Macaca mulatta: one gene and its partner. The protein of the gene in region 1 purifies or fractionates together with the protein of each later gene. This does not show direct contact. Links are inferred from orthologs where the notes say so. Each region holds a gene or a part of one and is shown on either strand. Other genes may lie near its edges.

Region 1 (3,651 bases):
CATCCATCCATCTTTTTCATTTATTTTATTTTTATGTTTTTGAGATGGAGTCTCGCTCTGTCGCCCAGGCTGAAGGGCAGTGGCGTGATCTCGGCTCACTGCAACCTCAGCCTCCTGGGTTCAAGCGATTCTCCTGCCTCAGCATCCTGAGTAGTTGGGATTATAGGCGTGCGCCACCAGGCCCAGCTAATTTTTGTATTTTTGGTAGAGACGAGGTTTCACCATGTTGGTCAGGCTGGTCTCAAACTCCTGAACTCAGGTGATCTGCCTGCCTCGGCCTCCAAAGTGCTGGGATTGCAGGCATGAGCCACCCAATCCGGCCATCCATCTGTTGTTGTTTTTTTTTTGAGACAGTTTCACTCTTGTTGCCCAGGCCAGAGTACAATGGTGCAATCTCAGCTCTCTGCAACCTCCGCCTCCTGGGTTCAAGCAATTCTCCTGTATCACCCTCCCAAGTAACTGGGATTACAGGCATGTGCCACCACACCCGGCTAATTTTAGTGGAGATGGGGTTTTTCCACGTTGGTCAGGCTGGTCTCAAACTCCCGACCTCAGGTGATCTGCCTGCCTTGGCCTCCCAAAGTGCTGGGATTATAGGCATGAGTCACCGAGCCCGGCCGCCAGCCATCCATCTTAATAACAGGAGACAATGATTTTAGAGTAATATGCTCATATAATTGGTTGCTATATCCTTATTTTATTTTCTTGAGACAGGGTCTTGCTCTGTTGTCCAAGCTGGATTGCAGTGGTGCAATCATAGCTCACGGCAGCTTCAACCTCTGGAATTCAGTGATCCTCCTGCTTCAGCCTCCTAAGTAGCTAGGACTGCAGGTGCACAATGCCACACCAGATAATTTTTTTTTTTTAAGTTCGGAGACAGAGTCTCGCTCTGTCGCCCAGGCTAGAGTGCAGCGGCGTGATCTTGGCTCACTGCAACCTCTGTCTCCCAGGTTCAAGCGATTCTCCTACCTCAAGCCCCCTGAGTAGCTGGGACTACAGGCAAGCACCATACCTGGATAATTTTTTTATATTTTTAGTAGAGACAGGGTTTCACCGTGTTGGTCAGGCTGGTCTTGAACTCCTGAACTCAAATCATCCGCCTGCCTCAGCCTCCCAAAGTGCTGGGATTACAGGCATGAGCCACCATGCCCAGGCACATCTAGATAATTTTATAAAGAAATTTTTTTTCTTTTTTTTAGGAACAGGGTCTCACTATGTTGCCCAGGCTGGCCCTGAACTCCTGGCCTCAAGTGATTCTCCTGCCTCAGCCTCCCAAAGTTGCAGGATTATAGGCATGAGCCACCAAGCCCAGATGGTTACTATATTTTTATTTGAACTTATGTAAAGACTTCCAACTCAATGCTGAGAAACACTACATAAAGCAAAATGTAGAAATATAGGGTAAAAACTTAATTCTTAGTTCCCAGAAATAACAATCAAGTCATTTAAAGTCCTTGTGAAAGGCCAGGCGCCGTGGCTCACGGCTGTAATCCTAGCACTTGGGGCAGTGTAGGAGGGCATATCACTTGAGGCCAGGAGTTTGACACCAGCCTGACCAACATGGTGAAACCCTGTCTCTAATAAAAATACAAAAAATTGGCTGGGCGTGGTCGTGTTTGCCTGTAATCCCAGCTGCTTGGGAGGCTGAGGCAGAATTGCTTCAACCTGGGAGGTGGACATTGCAGTGAGCTGAGATTGCACCACTGCACTCCAGCCTGGGTGACAGAGCAAGACTCTGTCTCAAAAAAAAAAAAAAAAAAAAGTCCTTATGCAGATTTCTGTTTAATGATTGGTTTGTAAAAAGGTCTTCGTGTGCATTTGTGGGGGAGGGAGGTTATAAGAAACCTCCGTACCTTCCACATAATTTTGCTATGAACCTAAAACTGTTCCAAAAGAAAATAAAACCTTTTTTTTTTTTTTTTTTTGAGACGGAGTTTCACTCTGTCACCCAGGCTAGAGTGCAGTGGTGTGATCTCAGCTCACCACAACCTCCGCCTCTCAGGTTCAAGCAATTCTCCTGCCTCAGCCTCCCAAGTAGCTGGGACTACAGGCGCCCCACACCCAACTAAGTTTTGTATTTTTAGTAGAGATGGGGTTTCGTCATGTTGGCTAGACTGGTCTCGAACTCCTGACCCCAGGTGATCCACCCACCTCGGCCTCCTAAAGTGCTGGGATTACAGCCATGAGCCACTGTGCCCGGCCTTAAAGTCTATTTTTTAAAAAGTCTTTAAAAGGACATCGATTTATTATACTCACTGTCCATTTGTAAACCCAGCCCTTTGATAGTATCAGTGCAAATTCCTTTTCTAGGAAATAGAATTATATCCTTGAGTTCACTTTGTGGCTTTCCTTCTTCAAAAGTCAATTTTGACATCTACTGACCTCCAGAATAAACCTCCCCCCAAAAATATTCAACCTATAGAAAGAAAGACTATTTCGGGCCAGGCACATTGGCTCACACCTATAATCCCAGCACTGTGGGAGGCCGAAGCAGGCAGATCATTTGAAACCAGGAGTTCAAGACCAACCTGGCCAACATGATGAAACCCTATCTCTAGTAAAAATACAAAATTAGCCAGTGTGGTGGTGGGTGCCTGTAATCCCAGCTACCTGGGTGGCTGAGGCAGGAGAATCGCTTGAATCTGGGAGGAGGAAGTTGCAGTGAGCCAAGATCGTGCCACTTGGGCAACAGAGCAAGACTGTGTCTCAAAAAAAGAAAAAGAAAAAGAAAGGAAAAAGAAAGAAAAGACTATTTTGGGTTGAAGTGTGAGAAGTACATTAGTTTTGCCTTTTTATCCCCCCAGAGATGGAGTCTCACTCTGTCACCCAGGCTGGAGTGCATTGGCACAATCTCGGCTCACTGCAACCTCTGCCTCCCAGGTTGAAGCAATTCTCATACCTCAGTCTCCTGAGTAGCTGGGATTACAGGCGCCTGCCACCATGTCCAGCTAATTTTTGTATTTTTAGTAGAGACAGAGTTTCACCATGTTGGCCAGGCTGGTCTTGAACTCCTGACCTTGTGATCCGCCCACCTTGGCCTTCCAAAGTGCTGGGATTACAGGTGTGAGCCACCGTGCCCGGCCTAGTTTTGCCTTTTAACTGATAAGCTCTAATCAGGGCATATGCTAATGCAAACTGAGAAATTTAAATAATAAGACAAAATGACAAAAACTAAAGAGAAAAAATTTTTTTTTACCTTGTCTGTATTAAGAAAACAAACAGGATTGTTGGGTTCAAATACTCCCATCAGCCAAGGATTATCAGAATAGTCAGCATAAAATTCCAGGTCCAGTTTCACATCTTTAAAGTGAGGTAGGTTTATCACTGCATTGGCCACTTTGTCTGATCCACACTCCAGCTTGCCCTCATAGGTCAGTTTATTACTTAAGGACATAATTTTACTAAGGGAATTACAAAAGATAATGTTAGTTTCAGCAGACGGAAACAAATATGAAAACCACTCCCAGCTAACACTGTTACAAATACCTGTTCATTCTGTACTGCACGGTTAACTGTACAACAGCATTCTTACTCTGCTCCAGCCTCTTGAATAAGCTTTCACTCATGCCAAGAGCTCTGTCAACAAATCAGATTCAGATTTATCAGTGTACTAAATATACTCCTTGAAAAGAATCTGGTTCAAAATTAACA
Region 2 (3,651 bases), about 28 Mb from region 1:
TAATGTGCAAAGGTGATCAACTGCTCTTACCAAGCAGCTGACTGTCACATAGGGACTCTCTCTCGTCATTCAACTAGAATTATGTCCCCCTGCTTGCCTCCTGAATAACCAGGCATAATACCTTGGCCCTGGGGATGACAGAGGGAAAAGGACAGGATGTATTATTTCCCCTCATGCCTGACAATTGAGAGTTAATAGCAGTGAATTTATCTGAGTAACACTCACCTCTCTGCGGATAGAAGCCCAAAGGCTGGGGAGGAAGTCCTTCAGCTCCTTCTGTCCATACACAGCACAGCAAGCATTCTGCCAAGGAAACCGCTGCTATCAGTTATGTGCACACTCAGACACCTAGGATGTGCAGGTACCTCAGCATAAGGACACCTGGAGGAGCCTTGGTCTCAGCAGAAAAACCAGTGAAGATTTTTAACAGTCCTACTCAGGGAACAGAAAAATAGGAGATTACCCTGGTTGATAAAATAGAAGCCTAAGAGGGAGTGCTGGTCAGCCTTTCCTCAGTTACTATGGGATGGGACACGACAATATGCAGCTGGGGGCTTCAGGTCGACACAGAGGCCCAAATCCTGGGTGTCCTCTTCTGAGGCCCATGAACTGTTCCTTGGCTATCCAAGAATCTATATCCTTTAGTACCCCTAACTTGTCAAAAGGTAGCTGGGTCCTGCAAGGAGAAAAATCACTCACCAGAGTCTGTAGAGAATCCAACTTGGCACTCAGAACCTCAGAATCCACTTTCTCAATCAACAGGGGCAGCAGAAACTGTGGGACAGAAGCAAGATCTTAAGCCTGAGATGGGTAGTATGTCAGTCACATCAAGTCCTCAGAAGCAGGTACTACTTATCAAGGAGCTATACTGAAGTCAGGAGCTATGAATGTGAGCTAACTTCCTGCCAAGCAGTGGCCAGAGCCCCACTACCTCAAAAACAGGCAAGCTGACAAAGTTACAGGATTTTAAAAGACAGCACCATATAGGGATTGGGTTTATTTATTTATTTATTTATTTTGTGTAAGAGGGGACGGGGTCTCCCTATGTTGCCCAGGCTGGACTTGAACTCCTGGGTTTAAGTGATCCTTTCCACTCAGACTCTCCTGAGTAGCTGGGACTATAGGTGTGCGCCACTGAATCCAGCTCTGGATTATGAAGAGATGCTAAAGTTTTCTGTATCGAAGGTTTGAAGATACCTGCCACATAAGACACTTGTAGGGTGTCATGCCCTAAAATGTATACCAGATCTTTTTTTCTCCATGCTTTTACTGCTCTTTCTTCAGAACCTTCTATTGGCAGAGGCTATACACCTTAATTTGGCTAGACCCACCTCAGCGAATCGTGGTGTAGAAGCCAGCACAGCGCGAAGACTCAGGATGAGGTCTTCTCTCTGGATACCATGGGGGTCATTAGGTGGCTGGAAAAGGGAGAAGGGCTGTGGGTTTGTGTAACATTTCAGACCACCCTTGAACCCAGGCTTGAACCTGGTAACCCTGTAGAACAGGGTGATACTCATACCCAATCAGGGAAGACAGTAAGATAATGACGCCTCAGCAAGAAGACATGCTTGACCTTTTATGTATTCCTTGGGAACTTTTTTTTTTTTTTTTTGAGACGGAGTCTCGCTCTGTCGCCCAGGCTGGAGTGCAGTGGCTGGATCTCGGCTCACTGCAAGCTCCGCCTCCCGGGTTCACGCCATTCTCCTGCCTCAGCCTCCCAAGTAGCTGGGACTACAGGCGCCCGCCACCTCGCCTGGCTAATTTTTTTTTTGTATTTTTTAGTAGAGATGGGGTTTCACCGTGTTAGCCAGGATGGTCTTGATCTCCTGACCTCGTGATCCGCCTGTCTCGACCTCCCAAAGTGCTGGGATTACAGGCTTGAGCCACCACGCCCGGCCTGGGAACTTTTATCTTTAGGCATTTTTAAAGATCTGATTACACATTTTTCTATCATTTCACCACTAAGAGATAAGCATGCTTAACTTTCTCGTGTATTGCTTTCTTCTCTGATATATATTGTTACTATGTGCTAGTATATACTGTTTCTGTATACTTAAAGATAATTTTGTACATGCAGTTTTTAATTTTTTTCACTTAACATATTAAGAACATTTTTATGGTATTATTCTTTCATAGCATTAGTTTTAGTGGCTATGATTTCATTTTGTGGTTGTACTAGTTTATCTAAATAATTCCTTGTTGATGGACATTTCCATTTTTTTCACCCTTATAAAAAGCTGTAATTCTGAAAACAGAAAGCCTTGATGGTTTCTGTACCAAGACGACAGATTGAAAACATAAATCAGGTTTTCCTTTTCCTCTTCGCAAACTCCACCAAAAACACAGTAAAAGAAGGGATTTACTTTTTTTTTTTTTTTTTTTTTTGAGATGGAGTCCTACTCCGTCACCCATGCTGGACTGCAGTGGCTCAATCTTGGCTCACTGCAACCTCCACCTCCCAGGTTCAAGCAATTCTCCTGCCTCAGCCTCCCAAGTATCTGGGATTACAGGCGCCTGCCACCGCGCCTGGCTAATTTTTGTATTTCTAGTAGAGACGGGATTTCACCATGTTGGTCAGGCTGGTCTCGAACTCCTAACCTCAAGTGATCCTCCCACCTCAGCCTCCTAAAGTGCTTGGATTACAGGTGTGAGCCACTGCACCTGGCCTAGAATTTCTATTCCTGAATTACATACCCATAATGTCAAAAATGAGAGAAAAGATTGAAGACATTTTAGGCTTACAAATCTAAAAAATCCTCACTTCTTCCTACATTCTCACAGGAAAATACTAAAGGAAGTACACCACCAAACTGAGGGGGTAAACCACAAAATGAGGAATATGTGAACTCAGGAAATAGGAGATCTGATCCAAGAAAAATGATAAGGGAATCTAGGATGACGGTGAAGGAAGATCCAATATCTACTCTGCATTAGGAGTAAAAATCAACCTGTTGACATTGTTTGGCTAAGAATGGTTTTAACATTTTTAATGTTTGAAACAAACCAAAAGAATATCTTGTGACAAGTGAAAATTATATGAAATTCAAAGTTTAGTGTTGATAATAAAAGTTTTATTGGGATATAGCTACTGTAGCTGTTCTTGTCTCTAAGGCTGTTTTTGTGCAGTAACAGCAGAGTTGAGGAGACCATATGACCCACAAAGCTACTGTCTGGCCTTTTATAGAAAACGTTGGCCAGGCATGGTGGCTTATGCCTGTAATCCCAACACTTTGGGAAGTCAAGGCAGGTGGAAGCCCAGGAATTCAAGACCAGCCTGGGCAACAAGGCAAAATCCTGTCTCTATAGAAAAATACGACAATTAGTCAGGAGTAGTGTCGTGTGCCTATAGTTCCAGCTACTCAGGAGGCAGGGGTGGGAGGATCACCAGAGTACCAGAGTCCAGGGAGGTGGAGGCTGCAGTGAGCCGTGATGGTGCCACTACACTCCAGCCTGCCTCAAAAAAAAAAAAAAAAAAAAAAAAGAAAGAAAAAAGAAAGAAAAAGTTTGCCAGCCTCTTCTTAGAGTGAGCATATAAGCATAGTGAAGAAACTGAACCCTAAATTGATCAGATCCACTATGATGGCACATGATCGATACTGAGTTGTGGCTTGGCGTGGTGGCTCACGCATATAATTCCGGCACTCTGGGAGG

What was found.
Region 2: the proteins of DNA2 (region 1) and MMS19 purify together in Homo sapiens (affinity purification with mass spectrometry; 3 studies listed by BioGRID and IntAct, counting the BioPlex papers as one, with this or other methods). This does not show direct contact. The link is inferred for Macaca mulatta from reciprocal best matches to the Homo sapiens genes DNA2 and MMS19.

The regions. Positions count from the first base shown.
Region 1 is NC_133414.1:81,344,619-81,348,269, reverse strand, and holds part of DNA2 (DNA replication ATP-dependent helicase/nuclease DNA2), read right to left. Parts: intron 3,577-3,651; coding exon 3,487-3,576; intron 3,402-3,486; coding exon 3,197-3,401; intron 1-3,196. UniProt on the Homo sapiens protein: Key enzyme involved in DNA replication and DNA repair in nucleus and mitochondrion.
Region 2 is NC_133414.1:109,521,529-109,525,179, forward strand, and holds part of MMS19 (MMS19 nucleotide excision repair protein homolog), read right to left. Parts: intron 1,419-3,651; coding exon 1,332-1,418; intron 775-1,331; coding exon 700-774; intron 304-699; coding exon 226-303; intron 1-225. UniProt on the Homo sapiens protein: Key component of the cytosolic iron-sulfur protein assembly (CIA) complex, a multiprotein complex that mediates the incorporation of iron-sulfur cluster into apoproteins specifically involved in DNA metabolism and genomic integrity.